Saccharomyces cerevisiae S288C: one gene and its partners. The gene in region 2 interacts genetically with the main gene of each other region. Each region holds a gene or a part of one and is shown on either strand. Other genes may lie near its edges.

Evidence for each region.
Region 1: mutations in ATG32 (region 2) and PTP1 together harm fitness more than expected from each alone (negative genetic interaction), as found in Saccharomyces cerevisiae (2 studies listed by BioGRID).
Region 3: mutations in ATG32 (region 2) and MCX1 together harm fitness more than expected from each alone (negative genetic interaction), as found in Saccharomyces cerevisiae (2 studies listed by BioGRID).
Region 4: mutations in ATG32 (region 2) and FRT1 together harm fitness more than expected from each alone (negative genetic interaction), as found in Saccharomyces cerevisiae (2 studies listed by BioGRID).

What each region holds. Positions count from the first base shown.
Region 1 is NC_001136.10:39,065-44,207, reverse strand, and holds PTP1 (tyrosine protein phosphatase PTP1), read right to left. Parts: upstream 1,509-5,143; coding exon 501-1,508; downstream 1-500. Other genes in the region: Hsp70 family ATPase SSB1, read right to left, coding at 1-143; BRE4 (Bre4p), read left to right, coding at 1,964-5,143. UniProt on the Saccharomyces cerevisiae protein: Is not required for vegetative growth.
Region 2 is NC_001141.2:72,150-78,018, forward strand, and holds ATG32 (mitophagy protein ATG32), read right to left. Parts: upstream 3,625-5,869; coding exon 2,035-3,624; downstream 1-2,034. Other genes in the region: SLN1 (histidine kinase), read right to left, coding at 1-1,304; pantoate--beta-alanine ligase PAN6, read right to left, coding at 4,205-5,134. UniProt on the Saccharomyces cerevisiae protein: Mitophagy-specific receptor that recruits the autophagic machinery to mitochondria and regulates selective degradation of mitochondria.
Region 3 is NC_001134.8:670,917-676,806, forward strand, and holds MCX1 (Mcx1p), read right to left. Parts: upstream 4,219-5,890; coding exon 2,656-4,218; downstream 1-2,655. Other genes in the region: YBR225W (uncharacterized protein), read left to right, coding at 1-2,413; SLX1 (endonuclease), read left to right, coding at 4,397-5,311; glucan 1,3-alpha-glucosidase ROT2, read right to left, coding at 5,441-5,890. UniProt on the Saccharomyces cerevisiae protein: ATP-dependent unfoldase that stimulates the incorporation of the pyridoxal phosphate cofactor into 5-aminolevulinate synthase (HEM1), thereby activating 5-aminolevulinate (ALA) synthesis, the first step in heme biosynthesis. Up-regulates heme biosynthesis.
Region 4 is NC_001147.6:921,281-927,594, forward strand, and holds FRT1 (Frt1p), read right to left. Parts: upstream 3,761-6,314; coding exon 1,952-3,760; downstream 1-1,951. Other genes in the region: PRO2 (glutamate-5-semialdehyde dehydrogenase), read right to left, coding at 255-1,625; MYO2 (myosin 2), read left to right, coding at 4,441-6,314.

The DNA of each region.
Region 1 (5,143 bases), on a different chromosome or scaffold from region 2:
GGAGTGAAAGCAACGAAAGATGGGGTGACTCTGTTACCTTGTTCGTTGGCAATAATTTCAACGGAGGATTCGTAAGTAGCAACACAAGAGTAGGTTGTACCTAAATCGATACCGATAGCACCTTGGAAAACACCTTCAGCCATTTTGTTCAATTAAAATACTGTAATGATCTTGGGACATCTGAAAATCCAAAAGCAAGAAACATTTTTTAAAGAAGGAAAAGCAAAGCGACAATAACTAATTAATCTTTATATAAAAAGAGATGAGTACTACAAAAGAAACGTCGAGCGAAGATGAAAAATTTTTCTTTTTTTTTTTTTCAGTTGCGTGCTATAAAAAAAAAAAAAAAAAGATTCATCCATACTTCCCGTTCGAAATGATCATAAATAACTGCGGTGTATGGGCTATGTTCCCATGACAACGAAGCTAGAATATAATTATAAGGATGAATAAGTATTGTTATTGAAAAAATGCACAATTAGGAACTTTTATATAGCTGTCTATTGGTTCACGGAAAGACTGTTAAGATACTTGGCAGCATGGTAGATAAATAGGAACTGATCCTTTGTCTGAACCATTTTCATTCTTTGCGAGCGCAACTGTAACACGATCTGTTCGATCAAGTCCCGTGTGTACTCCTCTGTAGCCCTGTCTGAATGCCTTGACCGTTCTGTAATATTTTTAAAATCCAAGGTATCATGCATGAGATGATCTAGGGCAATGAACGTCCCCGTTCTGCCCACGCCTGCGGAACAGTGTACGATAATGGGGTTCCCGCGGGAATTCAAGCTGTGGGAGTGAGCGCATAATTCCATTATGGGTACTACTTCCTCTGGCTTGTTCATATCTTTCCAAAGGTCGAAGTAAAAGTGGTGAACAGTTTTGACAGGTCCTACAAGAGGGTCCGTGGGTGTGAGTTTGATATCGGTGACCGTATAATAGTCCTTCACCTTATGTACGTTAACAAACTCTATTTTCAAATCAGAGGGAAATTGAGTCATATCATTGGCGCCGCCCGGACTTTCCCATTTTGATGCTATTCTAACCGTATCGTCTACACCACCGCGAGGCCAGTACTGGTAGCACTTCTCCCTATTGTATTCTACCAGAGGCGTGACCATCACAATGACAATATTGTCTAAAGGACAATTGTGATAGCACATTTGCCAAAACTGATCCCAAGTTTTACGCGTGGGACCTTGAGTAGCAATATAGTAGCCCGGTTCGATGCTCTGCCCTGGCACGTTCACTTTGACATACGAGGCATTAATGTAATCATTCCCGGATAGAGTCTTCAAATGAACGCGGTTCCTCTCATACGGCATAATGTTAACGTATCTGTTTCTAGCATCGTTACGAGGTTCTATGCTGACCCCCAACGACCATCGTGAATTCACCGTTCCGTTTGTAGCTTCCCTTAATCTGCCGTCTTCTTGATTCTGTATGAACTTGAATTTACCCAATAAATCCGTGTCACGCTGTCTAATATACCATGGTGCAGCTGCCATCTCCACTGTCGCAAACTACTACTAACAAACGCTTTTCTTGATAACTCCTCGATGAACCCTTTTCCTCAATAAAATGTAAATATAGTTTGCCTTCCTCTTAATAGTGTGTACAAATGAATTTTTCTAATACTAAACGCCCTAAAAATGACCTAATTAAATATTACGTTAACCTAAAAAAGTACAAAGAAAAAAATGGAACACCTACAAATTATAAACAATAACCCTGTCGCCCAAAGTTAGGTTTCCGATAAGACTTTTCAGTGAACAAAATCTGGAAATGAAAGGCGATATAACATTATCAAAGATGATTATGTATAGATTGCGTGAAATACGCGCAGGAAAACGAGTTTAAGCGTCACTAACACTTTAATCAATTTAAAGTTCATTTTTAACTTGCTTTGTGCTCCACTAAGGAAAGCATGTACAGTATAGTGCTGGAATTGTAACAGGTCCTCATGAAAAGATATGAGCGAGATCGAAGTCCCACTCCTGATCCTGATATTGTGAAAGGTTCATACTCTCAAACATCACTCAGGTCACTACATGAACTTAACTATAAGAATCCTGCCGGTATAAGCGGGCTTAGCTTTGCAGGAAGCCCACAACAATCCGTGGCATCCTTATCGCAAATGCGGCTGGAAAATTTGGTTAAGGACAAACACTGGGAGGAAGTAGAGGACTTTGGGCTGGAAGAGCTGAGAGATGGGTTTTTTGATGCTGCTTTTACCAAGCCGGACAGCAAAGCTAGGTCTCCTAACAGCGACATCGATGACGACAATGGCGCTGCAAGGAAAAAACTGCAATCTGGTTTTACCAAGCTTTCCGAATATGTTTGGACTGCTATCTACAGGCCCATTATTCATTTCCCTAGAGATATTAGAAAAAATGGGGTATCCATATTCAAGTTTTTTATTGCTTATTTCATTGCTATCGTGATTTGCGTTATCAGGCCTTCTGGTAGGTGGATTGGCCATGAGTTCAGGTATTTTCTACCCATCGCAGTACTTATACATCATCCGGTCAGAAATATTGGTGTTCAACTGGAAATGACTATAAGCTCCATTATCGGCGCAAGTTTTGGCCTGGGATGGTCGGCTTTGGCATGGTACATTTCCACAGCGACAAAGCCGACCGCAAACTACCAGGGAGGAATTTTATTTCAGAGTCTGACTATGGCCCTCTTATTTGCCATCTGGCTAAGGTCTGTTTACCGTCGGTTCTTCTATTTCACAACTTCGTTTTCGATATCGATTATATTCACTCATACAGTTCGGTTGGCCTCATCCAAGTTTGATTTGAAGTGGCAAATTTTTTGGGATTTTGGAATCTCATATCTCTTCGGCCTTTTGCTATCTCTCTTGGTTTGTGTATGTGTATCACCACATAGTGGCAATGCAGAGTTAATGGAACATTATAACAAGTGTCTACAGACCACAAAGACCTTTTTAATGGCACTAGTAGATACTGAATTAATAAAGTCCAAAGAACAAATTTACCTAGCCCAAGTAAAAATGGTGAAAACACTAAACATTGATTTATCTCAAGGTTTTAGAGATTTTGTAAATCAGTTGACAATTTCCAGGTTTGACCTTCAATCGTTGAAGAGTTTAAGAAATTCTTTAACTGCCATGGAAACTTCTCTGAGAGTATTACCCATTGCACCCAAAATTTTTAATGATGATGAATTGAAAAAGATGTATGAAGAATTGGAGAAGTATAGATCGGATTCTGCGACCCTGAGCAAAGAAGCAAGCGCTAGCCCTCAATCTTCAGGAATTCCAACAAGAGAAAACACGCCCAGTGCCTTTAAGCCTATCGGTCCGGGGCTTTTAAAAAATGAAATCTACATTAATGCATTAAAGGCGTCCTTCTCGAAAAGCATCTTCAACTTAATACTGGAAATGATCTTCGTTTTGGAAAATCTATCAAGAGTACTAAAGAAATACGAGTCTCCAAATCAAAAAAACAACTTAGATGAGTGTGTCAAAATATTAAGTCACTCGCATTCTAAATTAAAGAGGAAAATTTACAAACTAGATGTTTGTTACAGGGATTTTGTGAATTCTAGTTTTTTTTCACAGGAACTGTTGAATGACGAAGAGTCTGTCGATATTTTCCTTTTTCTAAGATATTTGAGAAACTCCGCAAGGCAGCTAGTTACTGTTATCCACGATTGCCAAGTTTTGGGTGAGAATATTCACTGGAGAATTGCTCTGCCATCATATCCACTGTCTCGTGCGTTGACAAGATTGCCCAAACAATGTGTTCTCGATGAAGGTGCAGGAAATGTTCTTCATTATTTTGAGGCCAAACGTGATGTCGATGAAATTTTTGAAAGAGTTTATAACACCTACACGTCAAGACACAAGTATAACAAAGGCGAAGAAGAAGCGCTGAGACTTGATTCACAAGGTGGTGACGAAAAGTCACAGAATCGCAAAAACCACACTATTTCCATCAGAGCAATTGATCACAACGACTTCAATTTTCATACAACTCAAAATCCTTGGAGATTTAAACTATGGAAATTGAGTAGAATTTTATCTGGTGATGAATGTAAGTGGACACTAAAGATTACTTTTTGTATGATATTTTTGTGTCTACCAACTTGGCTACCTGAATCCTATCACTGGTACCAAGAATTTCATTGTTGGTGGGCCCCACTCACGTTTTACTTATTAGCACATAGAAGATACTCTGGTAACTGGGCGTTGGTAATGAGGAGATTAATCTGTGGTATAGTAGGTATCTTTTGGGGGTGGGCTGCCAACCAATCGAGACATTTTGGTAGTCCATACGTGGTTTGCACGTTTGCTGGTCTGATCGTGGTCCCATTTAGCATCAACTTTCTTGTCTATAGAAACACCAAATCGAGCTTCACTGCATTAATGTGCTTTACCATAATTGCTCTTGAACCATACAGCAAACCTAATAGACATTATAACTTAACCACCGCTGGAATATGGAAATCTACGTGGGTTACAGGCTTGGCACTTATTATCGGTATTTTGGTTTCGATTCCCATCAACTGGATAGTGTGGCCCTTTAGAGCTAGGACAGAACTAAGAGATAGTATGTCATCATTACTGGCACACTTGGGCCAGTCCTACCAAACCGTGGCGGACCGGTATTTATACAGGGATGCCGACGACGCACCTACTGATTTAACTTTCGCATTTTCCCACATTCGTGAAGTTAGACTGACTCAAAGTCTTGAAGCAATCAGGGAACTTTTGAAGAAAGCCCGTCATGAGCCAATCATTATTTCCAACTTCAATCCTGAGAAGTACGCAAGTCTAATCAATTCATGCCAATTTTTGTTATCTAAGATCATTGAAGCGAGAATTTCAGGTGCATTTTTTGAAATTTGGGATCAGGATTTTGATATTGAAACCACGAGAGCCTTACTATCGCTACGAAGAGATAGTGTCTCATCAGTGATTTTCGTTTTTTACATTTTATCCAATTGTTTCAGATCAAAAAACAAGATACCGCGATACTTGCCAAATCCAATTATGTCACGTAAAAAACTTTACCACTTCATCAAGAAATTTAGTGAAATGAAGGACCAATCACATTCGAATTTAAATTCAGGAGGCAATTCTATGGAGAAGAACCTATTCAAGAAAATATAC
Region 2 (5,869 bases):
GCTGAAAAAGCTGCACCACTGCCATGGCCACTGCCTCCATGGCCACTTACGCTTGTGGTGCTGCCAGCTTCAGCAGTATTAAATTGTAATAACGAAGAAGGAACAGCAAATCCAGAACTAAATCCTCTTTTGAATGAACTGGCTCTGCTTATCGTTCTTGGGGTGCTCGGTCGAAGGCCTCTCCCCTCTGTAATTAATTCAGTTGCCTTTTGTAGACGTACAATTGGTTGCACTGCCCAGTGTGCTAGAGGAAGGGTTAACAAAATGACAAAGACACCAATAGCGATGACAGTGCCGGTGATGATTTTTGCTAGTTTCGTTGCTGGAGAAAGGAAAACCGACTCAGGCTGTGAAACTATCGCGACCCAATTAACTAGGTTAAACGAACATGGTGAATAGCCTAAAGCAGTATTCCGTGTAGAAAGGATATTGGTTTGTTTCAAAGACCCTCCCTTCCCGTTTCTAAATGCGCTACTAATGAATGTATCATTTTTTATAGAAAAAACTTTTTGCGGGAGGTCTGATCGTGATCCATACGGTGGAAAGACAAAATGATACCCTGAAGCTTTGCCTTGACTATTATATACTGCAGAAATAATGGCAATTGTGGAATGTTCTAAAGCAGTTGTATCGTTGAACACACTTTTCAGACCCTCTGCCGACATTATTATAGTAATGTATCCGTAAACCCTTGAATCAGTCAAGATAATAGAAGGATTGGCAAAAATAGGTAAAGACATAGACATCAAATAGTCGGTGCTATTTAGTACTGGATCCGTCAATATACCTATAGTTTCCAGTGAAGAAGGTAGCGGTGTATCGGTGGATAATGGGAACAAACTGTCTAAAACATCTTCTGGAATTAGATCACCAGTTCCATTATTCGTAGCGTTCAAAACAGCATTAAATGAAGAATCGTAAACTTTAGCAACATAAAACAAGTTTGAAGAGCTCAAAAATTTTTGAATCACACTCAAGGAATCTACCCAATTATCTGCACTCTTGTTACCTGCAACGTAACTTGTTAGTGAGCTTTGCAGGGCGTCTCTTGATGCCAAATAGTACGCCTGGTAATATAAGTAGTTTAGAGTTTGGTCAATCTGTGATGACTTTAACTGAGCGGCAATGTACAGTCTATCGGACCTTAAATTTTTATAGTTCGAGGTAAAATAGACCCCTGTCGTTACAGCCAGAATAATCAGTGAGCCCAAAGCCACTATACTAACTAGTGCCGTTAGTTGAGTTCGGATGCCTATCCTAAACGGAGGAGTGAGTTCCAATTTTGATGGCAGGCCAAATCGCATTTGTATTGTTAAATCAAAACAAAGTAGATTATACCCAACGTGTTCTTATTTCAATTCTATGCTTATTATAATTGGATGATAGATCTATAAGATCTTCTCCACTGCTGTTACCTGTCTTTATAGAATTCGTAGTAGGAAATGGAAAACAACAAACAAGGACAGAATCAAAACTCCGGACGGAATCTGCTAAAATGTAGTGAGTTGGCTTTTGTTCGTGCTGTTTTCGATGAACTATTAATCCCAAATTTATGTAGTAATAATCACTAAAAAATGCGAAGAGGAAATATTAACGCGCGGCGCAAAAAGATCGGGTAATTTGGGCGTTTAAGTACATGAAGGTAGAATATTTCAAATATGATGTCAAAGGCGATAATAGTAACTTCTAAATGCATTCACATTTACAGCGATAGTTTCCTTGAAGTCGTCGGAATACGCTCTATGCGCTATGGTTGATTTTTAATTGTTTTTTTGTGTTGAGACGCGAAAGTAAGGAATATATAAAGAAACTTAAATTTGCTAACAGAAGAAATATTTTATAAGCTGTTTGTTTATGTATTTATGAAACCAAACAAAAAATTGCCTGTATAATGAAAGAATTTTCATATTTGATAAGCTTCTATGTAATTAAGGAAAGGAACCAAACGGGGAATATAGATACGCAGTGAGAGAAACAGAAGTGATAGTAAAAAAGTGAGTAGGAACGTGTATGTTTGTGTATATTGGAAAAAGGTTACAATAGAATATAACCCAGTGCCAAAATCCGATTAGATTCATCAATGGAAAATTCAGAGCTTTTATTAAGGTTCTCCAAAAATTTTAAAGGTTTAGAAAGAGCATGCAAGACAAAAGTATTCATTTTGCCCCAAGTCTCCTTGATTATGGTAAGACTTTTCATAATGAATCCATCGGAGTGGAAGTTTATCTGAAGCGTACCCTTATCAAACCATAAAAACTGCTCAGTTGAAGAAGGAGATGCAGTGGCGGGCGTATTGATTGTGTCGCTAGAGGAATCTAAGGAAAGTAAAGAGGCCAATATGGAGGGCCGCAAACTTAAAGACTTAACTGTTTGGTGTTCGTATGCTGCAGTGACAAAGTATGTCACACAACATCCAAAACTAATTCCTATAGTAATTGAAATGCCCCAAGTGAACCAGCTCGTGAAGAACTTCTGCTTCTTTCTCTTGGGTTTTTTATTCGATTTAGGGGATTTCTTTTTTGAGTTTTCGGCTTTTTTGTTACGACAATAGGACCGAGACTTTGTATGTATAGCTTCGTCATCATTATCTTCCTCATTCACATCTTCTCCGTATTCCAAGGATAAATCTTGTAATCTTTGAAACATTTTTTTCAAATCTCTTTTGTTGGTCACAACAACTGGAGGAAACAATAATTTAACAAGTTTATTCCTTAAGAATGACTTCAGGACGTTTTTCACTTGGATGACTTGCCCAGGCTGGCAGATCGGTATTACAGGCTTGCCTTGAGAATATTGAACGATCCTGTTTAGCAGAGATACCATCTCTCTCAGCTCCTGAAAAATTATGACAATCCCCGTATATTGCGGGAATGTTGCGGAATCGTGATATTTGGGTAATTCAAAAAGAGATTGGTATTCTTTTGGTATTGATTGATAAAAGCTGGAACCAGTCCTTCCCAGTATTAGAAGGCGAAAAACTGGATTCTTTTGTGTTAGTGATAGTTTGGGCATAACAAAAGAGTTTGTCGAAGAAGTCAAGCTTTTTGTTATCGTCACACTATCTTCCTCAAAAGCCTCATCTTCATCACCATCATCATCTTGCTCGTTAAAAGGAGTTTTTTCCTTACCAGGCAAGGGCAGCGATATTATCTTCTGTAACTGTTTAAAGGGATGAGACGGTGAAACGACATTTGCTCCTTCTTGTCCTTGTTTAATAATATTTATTATATCAGCAGCAGGCGCTTGAAGCAGCTCTTGTTCTTCTTCAGAAGTATCACTAGATGATAGAATACTTCCATTAGTCGTTTGAGAAGAGCACCTTTCTGGGATGAAAGAAGCGCCCAAGTCCAAAGGCTGAATGGCTTGCCACGATCCTGATATACTATCGTTTACATTGTGGTTGCCGGATATGTCAATGGACGTAACCAAGTTCTGTCCCATTGGCGAAGGCGAATGCCCTGTCTTACTCAACAATTCCAATACTGATAGATGAGGGTCAAGTAAGCCTTTGTCTTCCCCAGTTTGTGCTTCAGAGCATGTGTGAATAGTCGTTGACGAGGAATCAGGTGGCATGCTTTTAGATGAGGATCCTTTACCTTCCCTTTGTTGGTATTCCAAAACCATATGTTTACTGTTCCTGGCAGATTTTTTTTGCTTTTGTGATTAGGACTTCAATATTGCTTATCGATAAGAGAAGTCACAACTGATAAGAAAAATTGTCAAAAACGAGAAATGGGCTTTGTAAGAAAATATTTCAACAATAACCCAAAAATATAGATTTTAAAAGTATAATGATTATGCCTCAGGAAGCTTACTGCACCTTATTTCCTAAATAACTTTTTTATTACTTAATAGATCTGTTTCTTTTTTTTTTTTTTGTAAAAGGGGTGCGTCAAACAATAGATATATGCTCTAGACAGACGGTGATCTAAGATATTTGAGAAAGCACGAAACAAGTGCCAAACAACTTCAACTTTGCTGAAGTAGTATAAACTTTGCTTTTACTATGCAAACTGTGAAAGACGATTTGTCCTTTCCATATTTGTGTTTTGAGCGATGGGGATGTCGTCCCTTCAGCCGTCTAAAAAAAAAGTCATCAAGCGTGAAATCTATCATCCCGTTGTTGGTTTAAAAGAATATCGTGCATACTGTATAAGAGTGGTATATACTGCAACACAGACACGGGAAGGCCCAATCACCTAGTTTAAATAACGATGTTATCTATTAGTCTGACGACCGTATCGGGTTTTTCGCGGTCAGTCACGTATACAGCACAACTAATGACTATTGGCTGCTGTTCGCTGGTGTTTTCAACATCGGAGAGTTCATCAAGAGTCTTAAAATCTGCTAAGGAAACATAGTCGATTTTGAAATCGTGGGAATCAACGTAGGGTGCCCATATTTGAGTCACAGTATCGATGATTTCTGATCTGGAGAGACGTCCCCCTGGTGCTAGTCTCCTAATAGCATTTTCCGCAGCTTTCAGCCCGCGGTAAAGGTTTTCAGAGATCTTTAAAGACTCTGGACAAAGATATTTGTTTCTACTACTCAGAGCCAGTCCATTATTGTTTCTTACAATAGGCATCATTTGTAGCCTTGTATTAACAAACAGTTCGTCCACCATACACTGTAAAACAATGAACTGTTGAATGTCCTTCTGCCCAAAATAAGCCACATCCGCCATAACGATATTGAATAGTTTAGTCACGACAGTTGCCACGCCCCTAAAGAAGTTAGGTCTCGTCTTCCCCTCTAATTTTTCACTCAATCCAAGAACACTAACAAAAGGGCCTTTCTGCTCTTCTATGTCGAGCGGAATTCCCTGTGGATACATCACGTGTGCATTAGGAGCAAATAGAACATCCACCTTCAACGACTCAAGCAATTTGATGTCGTCTGGCAAAGTTCGAGGATAGTTATCTAGATCTTCCGTTGGCGCAAACTGGGAGGGATTTACAAATATACTGACCACAGTATAGGTGTTTTCCTTCACAGACTGCGAGATCAAACTAGCGTGACCCGAATGCAGGCAACCCATTGTGGGAACGAACCCAATAGTTTCTCTAAATCTAGTTTCCCTCAGCTCCTGTGTTCTCCATTGAACAACTTCTTCGACAGTATGGAAGATTTTCATCAATTCTATATGGATATGCAGTATAAAAACTTGTATAAAACAGTGCAGTATCAACACACACCACTTCTTGTACACATAAATATGTACGCTACATCGAGAAATGTTCATTAATCTCTTGTTGGAAAATATGACAAAAGAAAAAAACTCGTTAAAGTAACATTTACCCGGATATCTGTTCAGCCAACATTATAAAAAAGATGGGCGCTTAATTTCCACTCTTACAGATATCACTCCTTCTAATTAACTTACATCAGTAAGAAAGTAAAAAGAGCAACAATTCGCCACAAGAAGGTCTCTGTAGGGTCAATAGTAGCAGGGCTCTTGTCAGGGAAAGACTGTGAATGCAAAGGAAAGACGGTTGGAGGTCCGAAAAGCATTACTGATGTTAGGATTGAAGAGAAATTCACCGTACTATGTGCCAGATGGTTATAACTGAACATTGAAATAATATCGTGATTATGGGCTGGTTGAGAGCCCCGTTAAGTATTGTTAAAGATGTAAGCAGTCTATTGCGATTAGCGGTTAAAATACCATTTCAAGGGTTACCCATACTGAAAGTGCCAAAAGAAAAAAAGATAACGTATGGAATGATATAGTCACAAAACTAATATTTCCTAAAATAAACAAACAACACCAAAAATGGTAGAAATAATTGGAATACATTCACAGGAGAGGTAGAATCGTCCCTGTAAAAAAAATTGAAACGGAACAAGAAAAATAACTGACGTTCCTTTC
Region 3 (5,890 bases), on a different chromosome or scaffold from region 2:
GGATGACTTGTTCTCAAACTCGTCAAGACGATCATCTGACTCCGCTGCCTCATCCTCAGTATCCAAACTGAAGTCCGCTCAGCTTTCCAAAATAGGTCTACATCATCATCATACAAGTAATAATAAACATAGTCATAGAAGCGGAACTCCGACTTCCGAAGTGAAAGCTAATTACTCACCAGACCCTTCTGCACCGCGATTCATTGTATCCAATATGGTCGGCAATGGCCGGGGAGGTGGTGGTCTACACGGTGCAACTTCGAACGTTGTCAAGAAACTCCATTCTAGAAAAAAATGGGACTGGAACACTTTACCGGCATCAGATTCTTCTCTTCTAATCAAAACCGTTTCAGGAAATCATAATTTAATCAACATTTGCATAGACGGTGAATTCAAACAAATAATGTACGACCCGAATCATAATGAGCTCTTTAATAGAATGGACTTGTTTCTATCTTTTAACATGGACTCCTCGCCAGAAGACTCTTTAATATTTGCCAAGAAAAGATTACGGTCGTACATTGATTTCCTAACAAAATATTTGGAATCTAGGAAATATGCATTTGAATGTTATCCATTTAACATTGAAAACATCATAAATATAGAGACTGAGGTTAAATGCTTTCCATCGTTTGACCCGTTAAAAGATTATTCTGAAATTGAATCCTTGATTCAATTATGGTTGGCTCAATCTCAAAAATTTTTACTGCAATCAAATTCATTCTTCTTTTCATCTGAAGTAGTGGAGGAACTAATAAAAAGAAAACCAACCACAAGACAACATTCTAATCCAACAATCAGCACCACCAGCAACAAGATCAGTGACCCTACATTATATATTCAGCAGTTAGATATAGAAGCAAACTCTCCAAGGCCAGTAATATCGGATCCATTAGACGAAATTGACATCTTATTAATAAGACCGCTGCATAAAACCCTGGGCGGTTGGCAGCTGGCGTATGATGAACCAAGCTTGAACATCGCAGATTTCGCATTAGATTTATCTCCCTGGATGATTGACAGCAGTGACAATGACGCTCAGAATAAGAATGCTAGTGAAATTGCTCCTGAGTATTTAACAAACTTACAAAATTATTTGCCACGAAAGGGTTCAAGAGCGAAAATAGTTTCTGACGAACAAGAAGTTATCGAATTGAATTCTTCCAATGCTTCAGAGTATATGTATGATTGCATGAATAGAAAGTTCTTTACAGATGATGCAAAAGAACGTATTTCTAGAAACAACTTCAATCAGGGAGTTGAGGAAGACCCTCTAAACGACCAATTCGCTTCAAGTAGATCTTTATCATTGCCGTCCTCGGGAGCAGATGCTGTCAAAAGGAAGAAGAGCCCTACCAAGGCTACTAAAAAATCTGGTTTCGTCAACTTTTTCAAGAGAAAGCATTCTCAACTTGCATCAACTTCACATACTACAAGCCCTTCAGTTTCACCTAGCATATCTTCTTCTTCTTCTCCAAAAATTCAACCACAGTCACATATCTCTAGTCCCCCTCGGACAGAGAAAGCTCCCCATGTCAAATCAGCCAACCAAGCACATCAAAATGAATGGTTGGAGAATTTTTTTTGCCGGACTTTGAACAACTACAAAGAAATCGATTTACCGACCCAATTTATTTTGCCAAAGGAAGTGAAGAGGTCCTCTAATGCACAACTTCAGCCTGAAGATGAACCACCTTTGTCATCACCAATATCCTCTAATTCGGATAACTCCTTTCCAAATGAAGGACTTGACAGGGCAAAAAGCGCAGCTATTTATGGTAAAGAATATTTAAAATTAAGACTGCCGTTTGCATCAGACACTATACCTGCTGTAATATGCCCGTGGGTCTGGACAAGTTTAAGTTATTATAAATGGAAAGCTCTACTTAGGGAAATATACAGATCAATAATTCCTGGCGGGTACGCGCTGGCAATTGTTCCAGATTTAAGGATTTCAAACACATACTATACTGGAATTCTTGGCAACGCCGATGCCGAAAAAGCAAATAATTCATCAGAAGAGTTTTTGACTACAAAAGAACGGGACAAGACATTTGATGCTATGGCTATTGATGCGATAAATAAAGGCTTACATATCCATCCTACAAAACACTTAACGAGGACATTCAAGGATGTAGGGTTTACAGGCATCAAGTCCTCGGTCCTAAGTTTGAAAACTGGTGACTTCAAAACAGATATGGGCTTTTTGAATGAATTTAATTCTTTAGATATGTGGGACTACATGTTAAGGAGGCAACTACCAGATAGTAGTTGTCCTCCAAAGGATACCGACCCCACCACTCTTTTCAAAAGATATGTGGAAGAACACATAGGAAAAATCGATGACAACGCTGGCTGCTTTAGAACTTTGTATGTGGTGGCGCAAAAGCCAAAGCTGCCATATACCAAATAATTGTGCCGCCGTTCCAATTTTTTTTTAAATTGTTCAAGAATTACTTCAATTTTTACTACTGGACAAAAAGCATTATGATAAGGAGTAGTCTCCCAGTATCGTAGAACCAATTTGAAACACTTTAGCCAATATTTATTAATTTTTTTTACTTCCCATGGCATAGTACTTTGTAGGAAGATTATTTGTTCATTTACTACATTTATTACATCTATATTTATATATTCTATACCATTCATTTTTTTTTATGTTAAGCTTCTCTTGGGAATTGTTGGGGTATGAATGTTAGCAGAATGACCCAACTCTTTTTCTAGCATAACTCCTAATTTTTTATCTTCTTCAGAAACGTCACGAATTAAACTGTCCTTTTCATCACCAGAATAGTATTTTACGTCCACTTGGGAAGCCAAAGAGTGCTCTGTTTCCTGTAACGAGTCGACAGTAGCTTCGTCGATTAAAACGTATGCTATGTTAGAACCCGGGCAATCATAATTAACGTTTAGCAGAAGTCTTTCCATTATCCCTCTCAACCCTCTGGCGCCAGTTCCTTCCTTGAGAGCAAATTGAGCAACTTTCTTTAGCGCCTTTTGTGTAACACACAATCTTACCCCAAATTGCTTAAAAATATATTCATATTGATCCAATAAGGCATTTTTAGGTTCTTTTAATATATGAAATAAATCGTCTCTTTGTAGAGGCTGCAGAGCAGTTATAATTGGGACTCTGCCAATTAATTCAGGAATTAGACCAAAGCTAACTAAATCTGTGGGGGTGGTCAAGTCTAAAGCACACACTTTTTTTCCGTTATCTAATTCAACCTGCTCAAGCGTATTGCTAAATCTGAACTTCTTCGCTCTTTCTTTTTCAACTTCTTTACTATTCGATGATTCAACAGACTCTCCTGCCTTCTGTATTTTCTTCATATCTTCTATCCTTTTAACAATATGCTTATCTAAACCAACAAAAGCTCCCATAATCATGAAAAGAATATTTGAAGTGTCTACAACAAATACTTCGTCCTTCTTTGTTGTAGTTTGATTTTTTTGTCCGTCAATATCATGCTTAACAGGCCTTTTAACGGTAATTTCCACTTTATGGCCCTCAATGATTTTCAATAATGACTGTTGAACCCCTTCTCCGGACACGTCTTTAGTGCCAATGCTTGCGGCAGGCTTGGCTAGTTTATCAATCTCATCAAGAACAATAATACCTTTTTCTGCTCTCGCAACATCAAATTCAGCATTTACGAGCAATCTTTCAATGCATACTTCAACATCTTCACCTATGTAACCTGCTTGAGTCAATTGTGTACAATCTGTAATTGCAATTGGAACGTTTAATATTTTCGCCAATGTTGTTGCCAACAAAGTCTTACCAGAACCTGAGGGACCAACGACAAGGACATTACTTTTGCTTAACTCTAAATCTTCGTCAACCTCTCTACCTGCTAAATTAAACTGTCTTTGAAGATTCCTCCAACCAGCCTTTGATTCGCTGTTTCCACTGAAAATTGGTTCATCCCTATCATCCGCGATTTTCTCTCGTTCCATCAATTCTCTCTGCCTTTGTAATTCCCCTTTCTTTTGCTTGTCATTGATTCTTAAATAGTGATTATAAACTGCCACGCTTAAAACCTTCTTACCAATCTCTTGACCAACAATGTACTCATCGAGGAATTTCTTCAATGCTTTTGGAGTGGGTATATTCGATAAACGAGACTGTGCCAGTTTCCCTGATGCTGTAGCAGCATATCGACCAATTCTACTAGAATAAGCTCTAAAAAAGTTTTGGCTTGCAGATTTCAACATGAGTGTGAAATGTAATTAGAGTGCCTTGTCTTCTATGGTTTTGTTTGATGAGCCGTTTGCTTTTCTTTTTAATTTTAATATATACCACTGATGACTTATTCCCTTCTATCATCGAAAAAATATTGTCAAATTAATGTTCTCTTTTTTCAAAAAATATTAAAAAGATAAGAAAGGTACCATGTCGCAGAAAATACAGCAGCATCAGTTTCCTGATTTTTATTGTTGTTATCTACTACAATCGATTAACAAGAGGCAATCATTTTACGTTGGATCAACTCCTAACCCAGTACGACGTTTGAGGCAGCATAATGGGAAATTGGCTGTTGGAGGGGCATATCGAACCAAACGTGACGGTTCAAGGCCCTGGGAAATGATAATGATTGTGCGGGGCTTCCCAAGTAAGATAGCAGCTTTACAGTTTGAACATGCATGGCAACATGGGTACCAAACGCATTATATTGCCGAAAAAGATCGTGTTGTAAAGCATAAAGCAGGTGGAAGAACTTTACATCACAAAGTTGCATTAATGAAGTTACTTTTAAAGCATGAATTTTTTCAAAGGATGAACTTGATAGTCGAGGTTTTTAATATAAAGGCTTGGGAGGTTTGGAAACAGGACAAATTTTTTATTGAAAGAGACAGATTTCCGATTAATATACAAATAAATGAAAATGCGCTTGAAGAACCAAAGGAGAAAACTGTGGATGTTCTCATGGATCATAGTGATGAGAATTTAAAAGTGGTGGAAGCTGTATACACTAAAGTCATTGAAAATGAAAGAAACATATTCGAAACTTTCGAAAAGAAACTAACTACAGGGGTAGTGCGATGTGAAATTTGTGAGAAAGAAATTGACTACACGTCTGAAGAGCAAAATCTGAAGCCGTTTGTAGCGCTTTGCAATAATAAAGACTGTGGGTGTGTTAACCACTTGAAATGTCTTCACAGGTACTTTCTAGATGATGAACAGTTGATGGTAGGGAGAAGAAATTTGATACCTCGAGGTGGGAAATGTCCGAAATGTGATATGTTTTGCGACTGGACGACCCTAGTCAAGTTTTCGACAAGAATGAAGTTAGCTCACGGGAAGTAGGGCCTGACACAATTTTCGGTTCTTTTTTTTCTATAGATAATGGTTATATGTTATATTTACGGATATTTTTACGTTTACTTTGTAAGAAAGAGCTAAAAAGATGTAAAGATATCACTTCGTTTTTTTCCCTCAAAAAATAACTTCCCAATCTTCAGTTATGTCAAGCGATAGGTTAAGAATGGTGATCTTATTATCATTCTCATATGACGATCTAGTCGGCAATGAACTTTCTTCGCCATTTTTTTTGACTTTAATACTGTCTTTCAACGTTATGTTGTGTTGTAAATTATTCTTTGCGATAATGATTTTTTCAATATTGGTATTCCTCAAAGTATTGTGGTGAATGCCTGTCAAATTCTCGGGAATATGACTTCGAACATTTTTTAAGGTATTGTTTTCGAAAATGAACTGAGTTTCTACGTACTCACCTCTTTGGTAGCCAAAAGTTTCTCCATCATCAACATAAAGATCTCCAACGGCTCGTCCCTCGGTATCAGGGGCTATAACTATTACATATGGATCGTTTTTCATTAACATTGAAGATCTTCTATACTTATCTTTCATAGTGATAATGTGACC
Region 4 (6,314 bases), on a different chromosome or scaffold from region 2:
CCCTAGTAAAAACTGCCTATGATATGTATGAGTCGTGCTTTTCCGTCTGGTTTAATAAGTGTTCGAGTCAGCTCAAATCGCATTTTTGTCTTGAAGCTTCCGCCAAAAGAAAAAAAAAGTCGTTAATAGCGATACAAGTAAGCAATTAACTATCACACCATAGAATGAGTTGACAAGAGTACTTATTTGATGGCTTTACTGAACTATGTATACACGTCCTTCATACATGGAACTTAGCTTTATCCTAAAAATTTTTATAATGTCACAGTCTTTATATCTAAATCCTTGTGAACAAAAGCTTTGTTACCACCAGCACCAAGGTAGTCACTAGCAACCTGGCCGTCACCTCTTATTTGGTATTGATAACTCACCAGACCGTCCAAGCCAACTGGACCACGGGCGTGAATCTTAGAGGTAGAAATACCCACTTCAGCACCAAAACCGTACCTGAAACCATCGGCAAATCTAGTTGATGCATTCCAGTAAACACCAGAGGAGTCGACACCCTTCATAAATTTTTCAGCGTTTGCTTTATTTTCCGTTACAATAGCGTCGGTATGTCTCGAAGAGTGTGTATTTATATGTTGAATGGCCGATTCTGTAGATGTAACAAACTTGGCAGCCAAATCCAAGGATAAAAATTCCTTATCAAAATCTTGCTCCTCATCAGCATCAACGGTTTTGCATTGAATTGCTTCTGTCAATTTCCCTAACTCATTCAGTTTATCAAAATACGCAGTTTTCAAATCTTTTGTAGCGTGGATAGTCACTCCGCCTTCCAAAGTTAAGTTTTCCAGAACTTCCCACCACTTAGAGAATTTTGGGTTAATCAACAACGTTTCCATAGCGTTGCAACCAGCTGGGTAGTTAGTCTTTGCATCCAAACTAATTCTTTTTGCCTTAATCAAATCTGCGTCTTCATCCAAGTAAATTGAGCAGATACCATCCGCATGACCCAACACGGGAATTTTTGTAGTGTCCTTGATTTTTCTGACTAAGGCATTGGAACCACGAGGAACAACTAAGTCGATGTACTCATCTTGATCCAACAAGTCGGAAACATCCTGTCTGGTTTCGATCAATTGCACAGAGCCCACAGGAACACCAGTCTCACTTTGGAATTGTGCAATGGTGTCGTTAACGATCTTTGCCATTTCTCTGAACGTGTTCACAGACTCTTTACCACCCTTCAAAATTGCAGCATTACCAGACTTGATACTCAATGCGGTAATATTGGCAATAACTTCTGGACGGGATTCAAAGATAACTAACAAAACGCCGACTGGAGCGGTTACTTGGTACAACGTCAAGCCATCATCTAATTCCCTGGCCATTTTAACCTTGCCAACAGGGTCTTCTAGTTCGGCTACATCCTTAATACCTTGTAACATAACTTCAAATTTGTCCCCTTTAAATAGGTCGAGACGTTTCAATAAAGAATCCGCTAGGCCAGTCTCTTTGGCAACAGCTAAATCGATTTTATTCGCTTCTTCAATGGCATGCGCATTAGCCTTCAGGGCATCGTGAATTTTGTATAAAATATCTGATCTGCCCTCGTTTGAGATGGTTTTCAAAATATTCCCTGCTTTACGGGCATTTTTGGCTATTTGTTGTGAACTGGACATCTTTATATTGGTTGCCTGTGCTCCTTTTTGTTCTTACTCTTTTTACCAATACGCTTTTACTTTTTCTCTTCTTTTCTTGAAGCTTTTTGAAAAACGTCTGTCGACTTTTTTCATTTTTTGACTCATTGACCCAACGCCACAAATGAACAAAGAAATTTGGCCACTGCATCGCCTTTCCTGCCCCATTGATTCAAATGTCCATGCGCGTTGATTGATGTGTGATATATATATATATATATATGTATATAGATGTATATTATTATGTTCAGAGGTGATTTTATCTTTGTACGCGTACCATTTTTGTAAAGTGACCTTGTTTTGACTTTTTAACGAGTAAAAAAACGAGTTAACAAATTCTTGACGTAAACGATAAAGCCGCCCATCAAAAGAAATGCAATAATGTCAATGATGAAATACCTATACAGGTAGATGGATTTCGTGTTGTTCTTCGATTTATTTAACACGTTTTTCAGCTCTATCAAACTATCCATTTCCCTTAGAGAGGACTTTTGTTTATTTAATCTCTCTTGGCAAACCTCCATTCTCCTTTCCAATCCTTGTAATTGCGCTACACTTTCTTCGACTGATATCTTTAATTCATTAATAAACGCCTTATTGTCATCCTCGTCAAAGTCTGATTTCAACTTGACCAAGAATTGATTAATCACCGTGGTTCGCAAGGTGGTCATTTCGTCTAATAAAAGGGTTAACTCTCCTGATAGAAGATCATACTTTTGGATAGTTTTTTGAACGTTGTTTTCATTCTTGATTATTGTATCGTTTAAATTTCTTCTCATCTCATTCTCGATCTTCACTAGAAGTGTCGAAATATGATTTTGATAATAATTCAATTCATCAATGTTATCATTCAAATTTGAGTTGCTCTTCGAAATAGAGTTTGAGCTAGAATCAGGAGTGGCTGCGGAGCCATTATTATTGTTCACCTTCAGTACACTCTTGAACCTAGTGGAAGAATCCGCTGACTTCTGCCTATTCAGTAAATACTTAAATCCCAAGGTATCGGTGCCAGGTGCAGTGGAAGAGCCTGATGAATTCCTTGGTTTCCTCTGGTTAGTCAAATATCCTAAAGAGGGATATACACCGTTTAAACTTCTTCTATCCACATCTTCTGAATCTGATGAGGTGGATGACGTGGACGAAAAGGCTGATGACGACAAAAATGCTGGTACATTAGAACGGGAATACAGAAATGACGAAGAATCGTTGACAGCAGAACCGTCCAAATCATGATAAAACAAAGATGTGCTGGGGGAGGAGTTTACGGAAATTTGTGATTGAGAATGCATATTCCCTAATTTAATGCCGCCAGCGGTGGATGAGGGCTCAAACACTACCGACTCCCTCAACGTATCAAATGGGTCTGAATTTCCCAAAGAAGGCTGTAAAAATTGGTTAACCAATCGTTTCCTCTCATAATCAAAAGAACCAGCGGATGATCTACGTTGCGAAGAGGAGGAACCCTGTATTTGATTGAAAGCTAGCCCAGTATGACAGCTTTGGAAAACGGACATCGAACCACGACGTCCTTTACTAAGGCAAGACAATCTGGCCCTATTAGAGTTGAAGTCGGTTTTCGGCGACACTCTGAATGGATCATCCAAACTGGATGCCCCACTATATGATCTACTGTGTCGACCTACTCTGTTATCGATGTCATCTTCAAACAAAAAATCGCTAAACTTCCCGGTTTTGGTCGATCCCAGGACAGGTAAGCTAGTCATTTCCAATGAACGTTGTCGTACCCCATGTGCCCTATTCTTTGTCACATATAAATGTCTCCTATCATGCAGCGCAGGCTGTTCCTCCTTTTCTTTCTCCCTTTCCTTTTGTAACAACGATCCCAAGTTTACTTCAGTGCTTGGTCTTGGGACCACCGGATTATCATTCACTGCTATGACAGGTAATCTAGAAGATGATTTCGAAAAGTGTGCAACATTTGTTTTAGCTTGTAGAGGTTCCGGCTGCGGCTGCGGCTGTAGACCGGATTCTTTTATCTTCACTGCGTCGCCACTGGAAGCCCTTCTTCCCTTACAAAAGCCTCTTGGGAATGAAGGAGGTAACAGGGTACAGTTCCTCGATCCGGGATTCTCCATCCGGTCAATTAGCAAGTTCATTTTCACTTAATGTATCAACTATAACTTAAACCAAAAAAAAAAAAAAATTTAGATATGGGAAGGTCTTTTCCTCCACAAATAGGGTGAACTATCCGACCCAGATCAATAAATAAATAGGCTCGAAGACGCCTCAGAACTCCGGTCACTGGTTTGTCTTGTTGATATACGATGTGCCAAGCGCCGTTTCTCGATGCTTATCTGGTTTAGTTTACGCTGTTAAAACCAAAACCCCAACAGATTTTCGACCCTAACGTATGTAGGGCTAAAATAGATATTGAGTAGGTTACAATTAATTATTGGCAATTGCACCTAGTGACACATTTACGAAAACGTAGGGCAAAAACTATTACCCGACCCAGGGCTATTTTGTGATTTTTTCCTTTTTTTTGTTTATGATCGCGCTTCTCGAAAAGCCAAATATCAGAAATCCCAAACACGCCTTCATTTGATACGATTCGTAGCCTGCGTTTCAGAGATCTATCAACTTTGCAAGGCCAATCAGAGAACAAAAAAGTCTCGCAAAGTCATTTCACTTTTCTCGCTTGAAATTATTCGTTCGATTTCTGGCTGCTTGCTTGTTTTTTGTTTTCTAAGGTACTATTCGACACCATTCCATTGGACAGCGATACTTATACCATTGTACATATAGGACATAAAAACAGCAGATATTACAGCGTATAATGTCTTTTGAAGTGGGTACACGATGCTGGTATCCCCATAAAGAATTGGGCTGGATTGGGGCGGAAGTAATCAAAAATGAGTTCAACGACGGCAAGTACCACCTGGAGTTACAATTGGAAGACGATGAAATCGTGTCCGTGGACACAAAAGACTTGAATAACGATAAGGACCAATCTCTACCGCTTCTTAGAAACCCTCCCATTTTGGAAGCAACGGAAGATTTGACCTCTTTATCTTACTTGAATGAGCCAGCTGTTTTACATGCCATCAAACAGCGCTATTCTCAATTGAATATCTACACATACTCGGGTATTGTTCTGATTGCTACAAACCCTTTTGATCGTGTCGACCAGCTTTATACACAAGACATGATCCAAGCATATGCGGGAAAGCGCAGAGGTGAACTGGAACCTCACTTGTTTGCCATTGCCGAAGAAGCGTATAGGTTGATGAAAAATGACAAACAAAATCAAACCATTGTGGTAAGTGGTGAATCTGGTGCTGGAAAAACGGTTTCTGCCAAGTATATTATGCGTTATTTTGCTTCTGTAGAAGAGGAAAATTCCGCTACTGTACAACATCAAGTGGAAATGTCGGAAACAGAACAAAAGATTCTAGCTACAAACCCTATCATGGAAGCATTTGGTAATGCTAAGACTACCAGAAATGACAATTCTTCCAGATTTGGTAAGTATCTAGAAATTTTATTCGATAAGGACACATCTATTATTGGAGCAAGGATCCGCACATACTTGTTGGAACGGTCCAGATTAGTTTACCAGCCGCCAATTGAGAGAAACTACCACATATTTTATCAATTAATGGCTGGATTACCAGCTCAAACCAAGGAGGAATTGCATCTTACCGATGCCTCAGATTACTTCTACATGAACCAAGGCGGTGACACCAAGATCAACGGTATTGATGATGCCAAAGAATACAAAATTACAGTAGATGCATTGACATTAGTCGGAATCACCAAGGAAACTCAACACCAAATATTTAAGATCTTGGCCGCACTTCTGCATATCGGTAACATAGAAATTAAAAAAACTAGAAATGATGCATCACTATCAGCTGATGAGCCAAACCTGAAACTGGCGTGCGAATTGCTGGGAATTGATGCCTACAACTTTGCCAAATGGGTCACCAAAAAGCAGATCATTACAAGGTCAGAGAAAATTGTTTCGAATCTAAATTATAGTCAAGCTCTGGTTGCCAAAGATTCCGTGGCTAAGTTTATTTATTCCGCCCTTTTCGATTGGCTTGTGGAAAATATCAACACCGTGTTATGCAACCCGGCTGTGAACGACCAAATTAGCTCATTTATTGGTGTTCTGGATATTTATGGGTTTGAACATTTTGAAAAAAATTCATTTGAACAATTTTGTATTAACTATGCCAACGAAAAACTACAACAAGAGTTCAACCAACATGTTTTCAAATTAGAGCAAGAAGAATACGTTAAAGAAGAAATTGAATGGTCTTTTATAGAGTTTAATGATAATCAACCTTGTATTGATCTGATTGAAAACAAGTTGGGTATTTTATCACTGCTTGACGAAGAAAGTAGGTTACCTGCTGGTTCCGACGAATCTTGGACCCAAAAACTTTATCAAACTTTGGATAAATCTCCTACGAACAAAGTATTTTCTAAACCAAGATTCGGGCAAACTAAATTTATCGTGAGCCATTATGCTCTAGATGTCGCTTATGATGTGGAAGGATTTATTGAAAAAAATAGAGACACCGTATCTGACGGACATTTGGAAGTGTTGAAGGCTTCTACCAACGAGACACTAATAAATATCTTAGAGGGATTAGAAAAAGCTGCCAAAAAACTGGAAGAAGCGAAAAAGCTTGAATTAGAGCA